Linked DNA regions of Ovis aries. The protein of the gene in region 3 binds, or shares a complex with, the protein of the main gene of each other region. Links are inferred from orthologs where the notes say so. Each region holds a gene or a part of one and is shown on either strand. Other genes may lie near its edges.

The links. The genes of interacting proteins can lie anywhere in the genome.
Region 1: the proteins of RAB7A (region 3) and PDZD8 are in contact, whole or in part, in a crystal structure (PDB 7F6J), measured with the Homo sapiens proteins. The link is inferred for Ovis aries from reciprocal best matches to the Homo sapiens genes RAB7A and PDZD8. Residues at the interface, in NP_004628.4 of Homo sapiens: Lys10, Leu14, Asp16, Ser17, Lys38, Ile41, Gly42, Ala43, Asp44, Phe45, Gln60, Trp62, Gly66, Glu68, Arg69, Phe70, Gln71, Ser72, Leu73, Gly74, Val75, Ala76, Phe77, Tyr78, Arg79, Thr98, Ser101, Trp102, Glu105, Phe106; in NP_776152.1 of Homo sapiens: Ile999, Lys1000, Leu1001, Val1002, Arg1003, Lys1004, Glu1005, Gly1007, Leu1008, Asp1009, Asp1010, Phe1013, Ile1014, Lys1017, Gln1044, Leu1051, Asn1054, Asn1055, Val1058, Leu1077, Leu1084, Gln1085, Thr1088, Ile1092.
Region 2: the proteins of RAB7A (region 3) and RUBCN are in contact, whole or in part, in a crystal structure (PDB 6WCW), measured with the Homo sapiens proteins. The link is inferred for Ovis aries from reciprocal best matches to the Homo sapiens genes RAB7A and RUBCN. Residues at the interface, in NP_004628.4 of Homo sapiens: Ile41, Gly42, Ala43, Asp44, Trp62, Gln71, Ser72, Leu73, Gly74, Val75, Ala76, Phe77, Arg79, Ser101, Asp104, Glu105, Ile108, Gln109, Ser111; in NP_055502.1 of Homo sapiens: His818, Asn821, Met822, Lys824, Thr825, Arg827, Leu883, Gln885, Ala886, Lys887, Gly888, Phe889, Ile890, Glu892, Gln895, Glu897, Ile900, Pro903, Cys915, Lys916, Arg931, Arg934, Arg938.
Region 4: the proteins of RAB7A (region 3) and RILP are in contact, whole or in part, in a crystal structure (PDB 1YHN), measured with the Homo sapiens proteins. The link is inferred for Ovis aries from reciprocal best matches to the Homo sapiens genes RAB7A and RILP. Residues at the interface, in NP_004628.4 of Homo sapiens: Ser3, Lys6, Leu8, Ile41, Gly42, Ala43, Asp44, Phe45, Leu46, Thr47, Thr58, Trp62, Ser72, Leu73, Val75, Leu182, Tyr183, Asn184, Glu185; in NP_113618.2 of Homo sapiens: Phe248, Glu249, Leu252, Gln253, Arg255, Asn256, Lys259, Ala260, Phe263, Leu264, Glu267, Glu268, Tyr271, Arg274, Glu275.

Annotation. Positions count from the first base shown.
Region 1 is NC_056075.1:37,219,594-37,223,593, forward strand, and holds the start of PDZD8 (PDZ domain-containing protein 8), read right to left. Parts: upstream 2,804-4,000; 5' UTR 2,560-2,803; coding exon 1,685-2,559; intron 1-1,684. UniProt on the Homo sapiens protein: Molecular tethering protein that connects endoplasmic reticulum and mitochondria membranes. PDZD8-dependent endoplasmic reticulum-mitochondria membrane tethering is essential for endoplasmic reticulum-mitochondria Ca(2+) transfer.
Region 2 is NC_056054.1:191,231,355-191,235,411, reverse strand, and holds the start of RUBCN (run domain Beclin-1-interacting and cysteine-rich domain-containing protein), read right to left. Parts: upstream 2,804-4,057; 5' UTR 2,604-2,803; coding exon 2,539-2,603; intron 1-2,538.
Region 3 is NC_056072.1:59,079,761-59,083,269, forward strand, and holds the end of RAB7A (ras-related protein Rab-7a), read right to left. Parts: intron 2,506-3,509; coding exon 2,377-2,505; intron 493-2,376; coding exon 397-492; downstream 1-396.
Region 4 is NC_056064.1:22,644,622-22,648,596, forward strand, and holds the start of RILP (rab-interacting lysosomal protein), read right to left. Parts: upstream 2,804-3,975; 5' UTR 2,743-2,803; coding exon 2,515-2,742; intron 2,442-2,514; coding exon 2,348-2,441; intron 2,260-2,347; coding exon 2,153-2,259; intron 2,065-2,152; coding exon 1,819-2,064; intron 1,552-1,818; coding exon 1,406-1,551; intron 1,022-1,405; coding exon 899-1,021; intron 256-898; coding exon 166-255; intron 1-165. Other genes in the region: PRPF8 (pre-mRNA-processing-splicing factor 8), read right to left, coding at 3,675-3,829. UniProt on the Homo sapiens protein: Rab effector playing a role in late endocytic transport to degradative compartments. Involved in the regulation of lysosomal morphology and distribution.

The DNA of each region.
Region 1 (4,000 bases), on a different chromosome or scaffold from region 3:
CCAGGCAAGAACACTGGAGTGGGTTGCCATTTCCTTTTCCAATTCGTGAAAGTGAAGTCGCTCAGCTGCCCCATGGACTGCAGCCTACCAGGCTCCTCCATCCATGGGGTTTTCAGGCAAGAGTACTGGAGTGGGGCGCCATTGCCTTCTCCGTTACCACTGGCTATCCTGCAAATAACCCCCAAATATTAGTAACAGCTTAGTCAAGTCTTTGGCATCTTAAAGCCACTTAGAAAATATTAGAACTGAAGTTGTGAAAACATATCAAAATCTGTAACAACTTTCTCTCATGACTTTCTCAGCCACACACTGCTATAAACACCTCACTGCTTAAACACTGCAATTCATTGAGAATTTAGTCACATATTCCAGAGCTGAAAGAGCAGGCTTCATAAAATATGTTCTACTTCACAGAACAGGAAATCAAGACAGTGATCAGTTCACCATCTTCTGCAAATCTATGGAACTTTTCCATTATAAATTTCTGCCACCTGACTGTTTTAAGCTGTCACTGTGCTATTAGCCTAAACAAACACAATTACTAAGGTAAACCTGCCACATAACACAAGTCAATACTCTGTCCCAAACATAAAACATTCCTGAATTACCTGGGTCATTGATGTTTTAAACTGTGGTAGCAAGTTAGTGATCTAGAAACATGTAACTTCCACTAAAGGGAACTAGGTAAGCCAAATACCAGACTGACATAATTTTATGGTAAAGAACAAAATCCAAAAGGGTTAAACACTTAAAGTAAAATTAAAAATTTATCTGTTTTAGAATGACCACATATGACCCTTCAACACCGACTCTAGCCCCACAAAACTTATTTTCCCCTTCCACTTTTACGATATTAAAAATAAATAAAAACCCAAACCCTTGTACATTAATCAAAATAGTATACTACACAAAAATCAAGCCGCCAAATATAGGTAGGTTTTACAAAGTTAAAATCACTACCCATCTTAAAATACTACCTGTTGGGCAATTTCAGGTACTGTGGGAGGAGCCTACAGCCAAGTAGAGTTGAAAGGTCACGGGGCAGCCTGGGGTTGTGCTACAGAATTTACCCTAGACGACATTAACACAAAAGGTACAGAGAAGTACAAGATGTATAGGCTCCCAACTCGTTTTCAATTTGCAGTGGAAAAGTATTCCTTTCCGATAGATGCTGCCTCTGCCTTGAAAGTTGCCAAAGCACCCACGGCAAAACTGGCCTGCGGTTGCAAAATACAACAGCTCTGGGCTCCCAGCACACTCCTCATGCCTGTACTTGGTATCCGCGAACAATTTCTCAGTGTGGCCGAGGCGATGCTGCAAGGCTGCCCTCAATGCAGCAACCACCTAGAGAAATAGTTTCTCAACAGTCCCAGAGCCGTCCGGGGAAGGAGGGACTTCCCTTCCATTTTCAATATGCTGCTTCGACCCGCGCTGACAGCACCGTGGATGACCAAGAGCACACGGAAAGGCTTCCAGCTCCTTATTAATGCCCTTCGGAAGCAAAGAATGTGGGCACTTAATCGAGGGCCCCGTCCAGGGTGGGGAAGAGCCCTGGAAAGCAGGGGCTGTATAAGTCTTTGCCCTTCCCACCCAACGACGGAGGCAGTGCCCTGCCAGGCTCAGGGTCCCAGCAGCCAGGGGGCCCTAGCGCCCGGGCGACCTTCCCCCGCAACCTTCCTCTCACCTGATCTTGTAACTCGGAAGGGTGTGCTTGCGCTTGATGATCTTCTTGAGCTGGTTGACGATGAAGGAGGTGAGCTGGGGCAGGGGCCGCCCTTCGAACTGGGAGCGCACCTCGAAGTCGATCAGCGGGTCCTCCACGAAGGAGAAGAACCAGTGGGTGAAGGGCACGCGGGTGAGGACGAAGCGCAGCCTCCCCACCACCCGTGAGAGCTTGACGAACAGGTAAGCGGACTTGCCGAAGACCAAGTCCACGTCGATGGCCAGGTGGAAGCCCCCGTTGTACTCCACCTCCGCTTCGAAGGCCAGCTCCTCGGGGGTGGTGGCGGGGGGCAGCGCCTCCCCCTCGGGGCCGTCGGGCTCCCCGGTGGCCGAGGGCGCCACGGGCCGGAGGAGCCGGATGGTCTTGATGAAGGGCACGGTCTCGCCCAGGAACACCTCCCGCAGGCTCAGTCCCTCCAGCAGGCGCCCAGCCGTCTTGGTCTGCAGCAGCTCCTCGAACTCCACCTTGATCTTCTTGGTGACCCAGCGGCGGGCCAGTGCGGTGTCCCGCAGCTCCCGGAACAAGAACAGGATGATGGCGTTGAGGAAGTAGCAGGTCTCCCGCGTCGGCGGGACGGGGGTCTCGGGGGCAGGGGTCGCGCCGCCCTCGGGGGGCCCGCCAGAGGGCTCCTCAGCCCCGCCGCCGCCGCCGCCATAAAGGTACTCTCTCAGGGGCAGGCCCGGCACCGGCTTGATGTAGCGGAAGCCGTCGGCCGCGCGGGCGGCCTCGTCCGGCGGCGGCTCGGGCTGTTTGCGGTAGAGCAGCAGGAACTGGGTGAGCAGCGTGAGGAAGGAGCCCAGCACGGCCGACGCCAGGATCATGAGAAGCAGCCCCATCCCGCCGCCGCCGCCGCCGCCGCCTCCGCCCGGGACGCCCGGGCCCTTGCCCCAGCGCCCACAGCGCCGCTTTCTTCACGCCGCCCTCCCCGCTGCCTCCATCTTGAGGACATCGGGCGGCGGGGGTCGGAGCAAGCGGCACGCTGGGCCTCGTCCGGCGGCTCCGGACCGCGCGATGCGGCGCCCGAGCCTGCGGCGGCCCCGCGCCCCCTCAGACACTCCCGGAGGCGGCTGCCGTGGTGGCGGCGGAGGCGGCGGCGGAGGCGGGAGGGGGCGGAACGGCGCCTCCCTCCGACCGCCGCTCATTGGACGAGCGGCGCCTGACGTCAGGAGCGTACTCGCTCCCGGCGGCGTCGCCTGGCAGCCGGCGCCCGAGCATGCGTACGCGGGTCCTTCTTCACCTCTCAGGCGCCCTTCCAGCCCCGCCCCCCACGGCAACATTCTAGTCCCCCGCAGTCCACGTGGCTGTCACTTCGGAAGCCGCTGTCCGGATCTAGGGGGATAACTGGGGCCACCGGCTGGAGGAGAAGAGGCCGGGCGGAGAGGGCGTGGCGGCGTGTTCTTGATCCCGGTCATCCCGTTATCTTCTAATGCGCCCATCCCCCTTCATTGGCCTCGATCCCTGTCTGTTACCTCTGCTGCAGTGTGATTCTTCCACTCGCGCCCCTGAGAATGGGCTGGCGGCTTTCCATGCAGGGCCGCGCCGCAGAAGATCTGAGCTAGCGGTTCGGAGACTTTCCAAGCCGAGGACAAGATTGCATTGCCTCGGAGACTGCCGTAACCGACCATCAGCCTGACCAACACGCTCTGCGTCCGCAGAGGGTGGGCCCTGGGAAGGAGGGACAAACCAAAAAAAAAAGCTTCAGATGCGAACTAACCTAGATAGATATTTGAGATTTAAACCAGAAGGACAGAAAAGAACCGCTACAAGGAATGAATGAGGAGTGAGATGAACTTGCTAGATGATTGGAAGATGAATAGTCACCGTCAAGCTCTTGGAGTGCGTTAAGCCCCTGAGTGTATTGCCACATTTAGTCCATTTAAGAGACAGTTTTAGTTAGCCATCAGTTTTAGTTAGCCAGCATCCGTTTTACAAATGCAGACGCTGGCACAGAGGCAAAGGAAGTTGCTGGGTTACACAATGGAGCCTGGTTTGTCTAAAACTAAACCCTAAGTCCTCGGTCACCACTCTGCACTAGGACAACAAGATGGCTAGAGTTGGAAGGGGGCTGATTGGTTCTCTGGGGCACAGGAAGGGGGAGTTGGGAAAGAGGGAGGGGGAGGTGAGGAAAGACTTTAGGAAATTTTGCACAGGGTAGCCCCTTGAGGAAAGCCATAGAGTTAATGAAGCCAGGTTGCCCAGCAACAATGTTACTCCCCCTGCCCTCTGGTTACATCATAAATGCTTTTGTGCTCCAACCACAGGGACAACACAAAGATC
Region 2 (4,057 bases), on a different chromosome or scaffold from region 3:
TGCAACGCAGCGGACTTGAGTTCTACTCCTGGTTGGGGAACTAAGGTTCCACATGCCACCAAGCAACTAAGCTTGTGCCCTGCAACTACTGAGCCCAGGTGCCACAACTAGAGAGTCTGTGCATCACAATGAAAGATCCCATTTGCCCCAACTAAGACTGGATGCAGTCAAATTAAAAAAAAAAAAAAAAAAATTCTGGGCCAACACCCCAGTCCCCAGTTTGTTCAATTTGGATAGAGAAACCATGGAAGGAGGAAGCACAAGCAATAATATCATTGCAAACAGCAACTGGAAGAACACATGCTCATCTTATTTCAAGAAAACTGGGGAGGGGAAGGAAGTAGACATTTTCTGCCTTCAGTACATATCAGCACTCTCTGAGGAGCTTTTTTCACATTATCTTACTGAATCCTCACCAGTCAGGAAGGCATCATTCTTCCCATTCAGGCTGGATAAGTCAAGTTAAGCAGTAGAGCTAGAATTCAAATGCAGCTCTACCTGGCTATAAACTTATGCACATTTCACTCCATCAACTGGTTTCAGAATATAATTTTATCTTTCATATATTTTAAAAAATGATGCCATCTCATCAAGAAGATGTCTTCTGAATTGGGTGTTTTATTGGCCAAAGAAAGGTTAAGTTTGCAGTGATCCAGCCACAGTGCCTCAATTCTCAGGCACAAGTCATGTATTTCATTTACCATTTGACTACCCAGAACTAAAGAGGCCATCGGTGCCACGAAGTCCCATTAAATAAATTATTCTAAGTTCACTAATCACCAACAGAGAGTAGGCTATGTTAACATTAAGAGTGATTTCATGAGGATAATCCCAATGCTGAAATTAAGTTTTGACTAAAGTTCATTGGTAAAGAAGCAAGCATGGAAAGAATAACAGAAAAAGATACCTGCAAAGGAGAAGCCTTAGTAACGTTAATGACAGGCAAAGAATGCTACAAAATTTATTACCTTATACATTTCTTTGTCCCAGCAGATTAGAACAGTGAGAGGTAGTATAGCATAGATACCAGAAGTAGAGCCTGCCTGAATCCCAGTCCCACCAAGGATTTACTGTATGACCTTGGCAAATTATTTATCCTGTCTAGGTCTTAGCTGCCTCACCTGTCAAATGGTAATAATATAGTACCTATCTCATCCAGCTGTTATGAGGATTTAATAACACTTGTAAGGCTCTTAAGCAATGCCTGGCATGTAGTAAATAAGTATTTGTTAAATACATTAAATAAATAAATAACTCAGCTGGGAGGAAATCTGAATTTCCAACCTAGCCTCTCCTACATGAACTGGTAGAGGAAAATAAAAATAATCCTAAAATTTGTTTAGAAAGTATATAAGACTTTTTACAAGAAGCATCTGGAGGAAGAATAAAGAGCCAAATATACATAAGCAGAAACTGAAACATGGAAAAGGGAAGTAGGCTCTTCAGTTTCACTGAACACATCATTTACAGATCTCATGCAGTAACCCCAAGTCCTGTCATCCTAGGTTTTGTACAGCAGGCCACAGGCAGGTAAAAGAGGAGTCACTCTTTAAACTAGCCAGGTCTTCACCTATGTACAAAATCTCATTAATTTTCCCCTGTTGATATTTTTTCAGAGATAAATATTTCAGTCTTTGGATTCTAGCTGCTCCGGAGACTCTAACCACATCTGAATGTTTTTAAAAGTCAAGAAGGACTTCCTTAAGCCACATTCCTGCTCTATCCTGTCCATTCCAGATTCTTAAGAGGTTAAGACCAGAGTTATTAATGAAGCAACACCTACACAGAAGTACAGCTGGAGTCCAAGCCAACATTCAGCTTTTGTAATTTCTAGAAGGTAAGAACTTGATAGCAGTTTCATATAAATAAATGGGAAATCGCTCAGCTGCAATGTGGGTAAGGAGTGCCGGGTTTAAATACAGGGAGGTCCTGTCACTGTCTGACAGGGATCCAGCATTGACAAAGGGCACGAACGCAATCGCTAGTCTCATTAGCAAGCCCTCACTCCCATTCCACTGCCTTTACAATCGCCCACTTTCACCCACAGGCCCTCCTTCACGCCTTCCTCCTCACACTCATTTTGCGTAAGCTTCTGTCTAGGCCACTCACAATGCCTAACCTTTGCTCCCAGAAATTCTTACTTCAACCTTCTTAACACTGGCCTGAACCGCTGTCACCGCAAGTTTCGGCCGGGGCACCCACCCTGTCCCCTACTGCTATCTATAGACTCTGGCCTATGAAATCTCACCACAGCACCTCTCAATGTCCACCTCCTCCCCAGAAGCAGCCCTCGGTCTGAATTTTACCCACTGCTGCACGCCCTCCACCGCCCCCCGCCCTCAACATAGCCTATCCTCCCTCCTTCTCTCTCCCTAAGCCCGTTCCCTCGTCCGCCCGATCTAACCTCCCCGTCTCTCGTTTCAGAATTTCTTCCCAAACAAGTCGCCCACAACAGCAGTCCTCCTGTCCGTCTCCTCGTGCTCTGGGAGCCTTCCCGGCTTCAGCGCATCCATCCGCGCGCGACTTCCCCCAGCTCACCTGCTCTCCTCCGGCAAGCCCTCCTCGCAGCCGCCAAGCTCCATTCCCGCGCCCTCTGGCCGCATCCGGGGCTGCGACGTCGCCTCTTAAGAGAGGCGTCCCTGTCGCTTCGCCCCTCAGGGCTCCCAGAGCCCCTCGGGAATCTAGGAGGCACCCACGGCAGGTGGGCTCAGAGTGATGCACTACGGCCGGGTGACGGCAGCAGCATTGATTGCTGCCTCAGCCGCGGTTTCTATCCCTTCCACTCCCCCCTACTTCCGGCTCTGAGAACTACAATTCCCAGCAAGCACTTCGAAGGCCTAGCCGCTACCGGCATGCACCGCCTTATCCAATCCGAAGCTGCGCTCGCCGCAGACTTCAGACCCTGGCTCGTAGCTTTCCCTAGTGCGCCTCACGGGCAGTACGGACCTGAAACGTAAAGCTGCGGTAGTATCCAGAGTTCCTACTGGAGTGGACCCTTACACACGCCTGTCACACTTCACCCTTGGGGCCAAACTCAGTCAGAGGTCTAGACTCGAAAATAACGCTGGTCTTAATCCAAGAACGGTTAACCTCACTTCAGCCTACCCAGGTTTAACATCTGTTGGTGGTGTTTGGGGTCGTCAACAATTTTAATATAGAACTCACAAACTCAGAAGAGCTCAGGTTGCTTTGGTGTCACAAAGGAAGAGCAGAAGGGAAAGGCTTTACGGAAAGATTTCCTGGAGGACTGATGTCAGAGCAATTTTTTAGGATGAGTATGACAACCTAGAGAAAGGAAGAGAAGGTAAAGAGGAAGCACAGACATGAGGAATTTGGTTTGGAAACAGCTGATTCTGAGTAGTAATCAGAGCTGGGAAGAGGTGAGGGACAGAATGGTGTGCGTGAGCAGGCAGACAAGATCATGAAGCCATTCTGAGTTTGGATTTTATCCTGAGAACAATGAGCAAATCAAGAAGTGATTCGATCAAACCTGCTTAGAAAGCTATTTTTTGACAATGTAGAAGAGAATGACAATGTAGGAGAAGTAATGGGTATGTACTATGTTGGAGAGAAGGGATATGAGAAGAGTTTGGGCGTCCCTATAGAGGCCAAGCAGGTAATGCCTGTGAGTGAAGTGAGCCAGTTGTAGGAGAATGGCTGAAACTGAACTGGACTGTCCATACTTCCTCCAAGAAGGAAAGTCTCAGCTATGGTTGAATGTTTGAAAATATTCTGAGTTTCTAGTAAAACTGGAATCTGCCTTTTAAGTAAAATTTCCAATTTTTAAAATATTGGCCACATTTTTTTAAAAAGTGTGAAAGTTGTTTGTTAGTCAGCTAAGTCATATTTTATTCTTGTGACCGCATGAACTATATAGCCTGCAGGGGTCCTCTGTTCACGGGATTTCTCAGGAGGGAATACCAGAGTGGGTTGCCATTTTGTTCTGCAGGGGATCTTCCCAACCCAAGGATGGAACCTGGGCCTTCAGCGCTGCAAGTGGAGTCTTTACCTCTATGCCACCAAGGAGGCCAATGTAAATAATACACAGGCCAAGAAA
Region 3 (3,509 bases):
GACTGGGTGTGAGCCTGTGATGGAGCGCAGGGCACCAGCCTTCCCACGTGGTGGCCTTCACAGGAGGGGGTGGGTAAAAAGACCACAAGACGGTTAAAAAAATCAGAACTAATTAGACACAGATTAACTGTAAACAGTTCTCTCTCCAGTGGATGAAAGGAAGAAGCTTCCAGCGCAGACTCCACCCAGGCGGGTGTGCGCCTCCGGCCTTGCTGCTGCCGCGGAGCCCGCGGGGCGGGCGGTGGGTCTGTGGGGCGTGTGCGGGGGTCGGCGGTGTGCTGGGCTCTCCGGGCAGCTGGGCGAGAGATGACTGTCTGTGGGAGGAGGGGCTCGTGGAGGAAGGCCTGCACCTGTGTTCTCGGTCGCGGAGGGCTGTGTGCTCTGCTCTCTGCCTCTTCAGCAGCTGCAGCTCTCGGCCGAGGCCTTGGGGCGGTCGTTCTTGTCCAGTTTGATGGGCTCGGGGAACTCGTTGTACAGCTCCACTTCCGTTTCCTGGGCAGGGAGAGAGGCGGTGACCGCGGGCCCGGGGTGGCTGCAAGTCCTGCGGTGTAGGGGGGCGGGCCCCACAGCGGAGGGGCCAGGCGGGCACCGAGGGACGCTGCGGGGCAGGGGCAAGAGGGACAGGCTGGCGCCCTCCACCTGCACGTGCCCGCTCTGGGAGCTTCTGCCAGTGCCTGACAAGGACAGGGTCTGGGGCCCCAGCCTCACAGACCCCGCGAGCTCGCCCTGCGCGCCCCTCTCTGGACCCAGGTCTGTTGTCTCTTCCAGGCCTTCAGGAGAGCTTGCCCCCAAGGCTGCACATGCCAGGCCCGCCCAGGACAACTCCCTCAGTGTGGGGCCCACAGGACAGGGCCTGGGGTCACTTCACGGGGACTTGGGCTGAATTAGCGTTTCCAGCGAGGGGCAGCTCCCTGCTTCCTAGGGAAGAGAATTCACCTGTGCCTTAGACGCGGAGCACCCGCGGGTCGAGGCCCTCTGGGGAAACCACTCCGGTCACAAGTGCTGTGCAAGCGGCCACGCCCAGGACTGCCTGTAGTTTAAGGCGGTCTCGCTCCCTGAGGGCTGAGCGTGTGCCCCTGCAGCCTGGTCTGCTCACAGGCCCAAGCCATCAGGCCCTTCCCGGCCCCGGAGGCGAGCCGGCTCCAGCAGCAGCGGCCTGTCCCGCCTATTGCTCCAAGCCCTGACCAGCGCTCATCTGCGTTCTGTCTTAATGGAGGCCTCAGCGAGATCGGACCTGTGGCCCCGAAACCGACAGGAAATAAGTGTGTCCTTGAGCCACGCGGCCTGTGGGCACTGTCCAGGGCCCGGTGCTGGCTGACACAGTTAGAACCTCAGGAAGGTTTATTTTTTGTGGGGGTAGGTGGTGGGGAGAGGACGGAGGAGGAAAAAGTTGCACCTGGAGTGAAAGTCTTAGTTCAAATGGATAATGAACCAAACAGAGCCAAGAGAAAAGCCTCGACTAGCGAGGGGAGAGGCCGTGAGGTCAGGACGGCCGTGCAGGGAGCACGTGGGCTGCAGGCGGGGCCCGGCGCAAGGAGAGCGCGACACGGGGGAGCGGGCTCCACAGACGGAATACACACCCACCGGCAGGTTCTTCACTGTGGCCAGAGAGGCTGAGAAGAAGGCCCACCACACACAGCTCAGCCCCACCTCTGCGCACGGCCGAGGCCCGGGCAAGGGCTGCAGGGGCCCCTCTGCAGAGCATGGGCGCTGCGCCAGCGACGCCACCGCGGTGCCGGGACTGAGGGTCACCACTGTCCCCAGGGACAGCCAGGGGCCCCCTTACCAGTCGGACAGTCTTCCTCCTGCGACTCGAGCTCTAGGGGCAGGAGTGTTTAGGGAGGAAAGCACTGCCCTGCTGCTGTGGGGTCAGAGGAGCCCTCACCCGGCACCGGCCAACAGGATGCCGCTGGTATGTGGTGGGGAGGGGGACCATCTGAATAAACACCACAAAGAAAACGCAGGAGAACCTTACCTAAGGAAGATGACTCCTAGAACCTTTTGGGTTAACCTTTATGAGGATTGTTTAGGATAATTCCCAAAGTTGGTGCACCTCACTGAATCTTCACAAACGCCCTGAAAGCGGGCAATCTCATTGTACAGCTCAGACAGGATTTAAAAACCAGACTAGATCCCAAGACGGGCAGCAGAGCTGTGCCTCAAACTCAAGTGTATCTTGAAACAGGAGGAGCACGCCGAGCAGGGCGGCCCCACACGAGGTGGCCTCGATGTGTGCCCCCATGGAGCTGACTTACAGACGGCGGGACGGGGCCGCTCTCAAAGGCCCGCCACCACCTCTGGCTGCACAGGAAGCCCGTGGGGAGAGAAGGTGCGGGCCAAGGCGGCCAGGCCAGGGCTCCGTCCCCGGACACCCACCTGCTTGAGCGCGTTCCGGGCGATCGTCTGGAAGGCCTGCTCCACGTTGATGGCCTCCTTGGCGCTGGTCTCAAAGTAGGGGATGTTGTTTTTGCTGTAGCACCAGGCCTGAGCCCGCTTGGTGGCCACCTGAAGGGGAGGCAGGGTGCAGGTGCCAGGAAGAGCAGGCATCCCAGCGGAAGAACCCCCAGGACCCCCGCCGGCCACCGCCCACCAGCCCCTCGCCAGCTAAGCTCAGTACAGTGGGGCTTTCCCCTCTCAGCCTCCGACCCCGAGCTGCACCTGGAGGCAGCTTGTGAAGGGCGGCGGCAGCCAGCTCGGGAGGAAGTGCCTCCCCTCCGGCCCAGGACAGGTCTCCAGCCCCTCCTGTGACCGCTCAGCACACCTGCCTGGACCCCTGGCCTGATCACACACCCAGGCCCCAGAGCCCCCAACCCAGCCACATCCTGTTTCCTGACTCCCCACCCGAGCCTGTTTTCAGGAACAAGAGAAGAACCAATTCACTTAGGAAAGAGCTGACTGGTCAAAAATAAACTCAGCTATGAGTGAGTGAATGAAGTCTGGTCAGTTGTGTCTGACTCTGCAATCCCATAGGCTGTAGCCTACCAGGCTCCTCCGTCCATGGGATTTTCCAGGCAAGAGTACTGGAGTGGGCTGCCATTTCCTTCTCCAGAGGACCTTCCCGACCCAGGGATTGAACCCGGGTCTCCCGCATTGTAAGCAGACGCTTTACCGTCTGAGCCACCAGGAAAACTCGGCTATGCTTGACGACATCTCTGTCTACACCGACATCTCTGTCTACACTCCCCAGAGATGCTACTGGAAAGGAAGCCAGAGCAGTTTTACTCAAAAGCCCAAAGCACCTCCCGCCCCGCGGGATCTGGGGGGGCCCCGCTGCGGGAGGACGACAGCTGATGGCAACCGAACCCTCCCCCAGGGTCAGAAGCAGAGGCGCCCACAAGCCCGAGTCACGGCTGTGCGGGTGGTGTGGGGGTCTCAGAGGGCCTCCTGGGCCCCAGTCCCCAGGGGCAGCCGGCCTGAAGATGGCGCCCCTGTGCACCCCCAGAGCCACGAGGTGCTCAGCACAGACCCTCCGTGTGCACAGGGTACCTCAGAACAGGCGGCCCAGGCGA
Region 4 (3,975 bases), on a different chromosome or scaffold from region 3:
AGGGGACCCAGAGCAAGAAAGGGCAGCACGAGGCAGGGGACGGTAAAGGGGCCACCAGGGGAGCAGGAGGGTACGGGCATGCTGCTCGCTTAGGGCAGCAGGAGGGAAGGTGGGCCCCTCCACCCTCCACCCCCACCACATTTGTCCTTCCCTTCCTCAACATACAAACTCCGTATTCTGGACTCAGGGGCTGGGGGTTCAGAATGGTCTCCCTTATCGCTGGAGAGCAGGAGCCATGAGCCATCATCATCGTCACTGAGGCGGAGAAGAGCAAAGAGAGGAGAGGAGACGTGAGGGTCCTTTATCAAGGCCCTGAGGGCCAAGGGGAGTCCACTACGTTCAGCCTTCTGTGCAGCCCCCAGGAGCAGGAAGGGGAGGACAGAGCGACTTTGGGGCCCGCAAAGCTGGAGTGAAGGAAACTGGATCACTCTGCTGTGCGCCTGAAACTGTCACGCAACACTGTTAATCCACGATACGCCGACATAAAATAAAAAGTTAAAAAAGAAACTGGAGAGAAGGGAAATCTGGGGAGACAGAGGACATCTTAGGGCTTTCATTTTCTAGCCAGATACATGGCAGGCCGTGGACAGGGCCTGCAGCTACAGCCTTACCTTCACCTGCCTGGGAACAAGCAGATGCAGCCAAGACAAGAAACCAAAGAAACTGAAACCGACTGTGGAGAAGCAGAGTCAGGATGCGCAGCGAGCAGGGCAGGCGGGAGCAGCCGTGACCCAGCGAGAAGGCGGTGGGCTCAGCACGGCAGGCTTGTGGGTGGGCGGGGGGGTGACCAGGCCAGGTTAGCAGGTTCCAGAGGTGGCTAAGCTAGGTGACAAGCGCAGTCTGAGGCAATGGGTTCAGAAGGTGACCAGGCTCAGTGGGAATGGAGGCCGGGACTTACCTGCTCTCTGCTTCCTCTGGAGTCCCTAACATTTTGGCCTTGATCTTCTTCCGCTGCTTCTTGACAGCTACCTTCATGGCTCCGAGCAGAAGCCCAGGGACCCGGTGGGCTGTCAGCAGCTCCCTACAGAGGAGGAGGAAGGGCAGAGACAAAGCAGTGGGGATACTAAGAATAGGTCTAGACTCAAGTACCTGTGCATGTTGTTTCCCCTTTTGGGAACACTCTGCCTTGCTAACCCCTCTGCCCCTAAGCTTAGGTGTCACCCCTCCTGGGAGTACTTCCTTGACAGCCGCTGCTGCTGACCCTCAGCACTGGCCCTCCCCGGTATGAAAGAAGATCCAGGAGGGCAGGGACTATGTGACTCCCGTCCTCCAGTGCCCAGCATGGTGCCTGGCACACGACACCATAGATGTATCAACCACTCAAAGAATGAGGCGGGTGAACCGAGGCCAGGGAACAGGTGCGCCTGGCGCCCCCGAGCCTCTGGGCCCTGCCTGGCGCCCTCACCGCTGGAAGTAGGCCAGCTCCTCCTTCAGCAGGAACAAGTTGGCTTTGAGCTCATTCCGCTCCTGAAGGATCTGCTGAACCTCCTCTCGACTGAAGCCGCACTGCCCTGCCTTGGCGGGGAGCCCTGGCGGCAGCGGGGCATCCGCCTGTGGAAGGACAGGCTTGGTCAGTGGCGCCTAGGTTGGACAGGGACGCCTTGGGCAGTGGGCACCTCGGTTGGGCAGGGAGCCTTGGGAGGCCAGGGCGCTACCATGGGTGCCAGGCCGGGGCTCTGGCTGAGTAGGGGAGGAGGCCGGCTGGTGGCGCACACTCGTAACCACCTTCTAGCTAGCCTGTTGGCCCTGCCACGCAGTACGGCAAAACTTTCCCGAGTGCCCACCGAGAGCCGGACCGTTCCCTCATAGGGCACTCACCGGGTCCTCGGGGGTCCCCGGGGCTCTTGTGCCCGCGGTCGCCCGCTCGGACTCCCGCCTCTGCTCGCACTCGGGTCCAGCGGCCTGGCCCTGAACCGGTTCTGGAGGCGGCTCCACGGCCGCTTCGCGCCGCTGCTCTCGTTCGCTCTCGCGGTCCCGCGCAGCGCGTAGCTGGGTTTGTACCGCGGCCAATTTCTGCCGCAACTCCGCATTCACCAGCAGGAGGCGCTGCAGCTGCTCCTGCAACTGTGGGCGGAGCCAAGGGGCTGGTGGGCGGGGCACCTGAGGGCCGGCAGGGTCCCGCCCCCGGCACGTCGCCCCGCCCCGCCCTCACCGCCTCGGTCTCCTGGCTTCGCTGCAGCAGGTCGCGGTTGTACGCCCGGAGTTCGTCCCGCTGGCGGTCGGTCACCTCCTTGAGCTGCCGCAGCAGAGCGCGCTCCTCTGAGGAAGGGGCGTTCTCAGCGGCGGGCCCGCGAGAGGGGGAGCCCTGCGCCGCCCCGACCACGGAGCCCTGCAAGCCCGCACTCACCCTGTGGTCCAGAGCGCAGCTCTCTGCGGAGGCGCTCGTTCTCCTCTCGCAGCCGCCGCAGCTCGAGTTCCGCCTGCTGTGCGGATACCTGCAGCTGGGAAGGCCGCGCTGTTAGGCCAGCCCCCGCTGGCCCAGGCGGGCGGCTGGGGAAGGGCGCCATGACTTACCGAGTCCGGGGCGGGCCCCACGGCAGCCTTTTCCAGGAGCTCCAGCGCCTGCACCACCAGCGGAACGAGTCCGGCTGCGGCCTCCGGCCCGAAGCGGCGCGCCAGCTCCTGCAGCTCAGCGCCCAGGGCCCCCGCTAGGTGGTACACGAGCTCCGCGGCCGTCCCCGATCCCGCGGCCACCCGAGGCCCGGAGCCATGCGCCCCAGGCGCCGCCCTTCTGGGCTCCATGTCCCCCGAAGGCGACCAGGGCTGCGACACCCTCCTCCCCCAACTGAGGCAGGAAAAAGCCAATCAGTCCTGGCCCAGGAAGCGGCTTAGGACAGTAGAGGGCGGGGTAGAAGCGACAAGGGAGGAGCGATTCAGGGAAAAGGCTGTAAGAGTCTCAGGGCCCTGTTAAAGCCCCCAAGGTCACAGGAAGTAGGACATTCCAGCCAGGCGTCCAGGAGCTGAGGCCCAGGGCTGTAAGTGGTCACTTTCGTCAAGCCCTCCCCAGTGTCCACACCAGGCTCCACCCCTGTGTCTAGAGTCATGGGGCCTGACTTGGCTGCCAACTCTCCAGCCCAGAGGTGAGAGGTAGGCGGGCTGTCACTGACCTCAGCCAGCGGCAGCCAACTGTCCAGCCGTGTGCCTATTTCCAGGACAGGCTGAGAGTGACACAAAGCTTAAGGGGCTAAGCTGGGCTCTGCAGCTACAGAGAACAAGCCAGGAGCTTCTACACTCAAAATAGTGACTGCTCCAAGAGATGCTGAAAAGCGGTGAGCGTTTACAAGTATTTGGGGTAAAACTGGCAAATGTGGTCATAGCAGCAGGGGTGTGAAAGCCCAACTTCCCTTCAGCTCACTGAGCTTAGAGGATATTTATCCCCACAGCTCCAAACAGGGGGACTCAAGGCTCAGTCCAGCAGCTTGCAGAGAACATGTCTGGCTTCTGCCATCCCTACATCCAGAATCTGAGCTCAGGGGAAAAAAAGCTTCAAAACCTCCTATTTATACAAAATTTATTATTATACTTTTTCACAATTACAAGTCACCAGGAGGTCAACAACATCACAAGCACAGAAGAGAGAAGAAGGGGCCAAGCTGCTGAATGTCACCAGCTTGTCTGTGGGGCCACAGGCTCTAGCCTTGACCAGAAGGCTGGAGCAAGAGGTGAGGAGACGACTACGCATAGAGGTCCTCTCGGTCCGCAGAGTAGACCTCGCCCTCCTGCAGGAGAGCGAAGTTGAGGAAGTGGGAGGGCCGGTGCACCTCGTGGTAGAACTCTTTGGGATTTGCCAGCTGCAGCTCGTACTTCATGTTGGGATCATGCCGGACACCTTGGAGGAGAAGGAAGAGGCCAACGTTGGCAAGGTCCACCTGCCTCACCCAGCCTGGGTCCCTGGGCCATCTCTAAACCAGAATCTGGGCCCAAGTGCTAAGGGCGGTGGCCTAACCTCATCCCCACTTTCCTGTGCACCCCTGC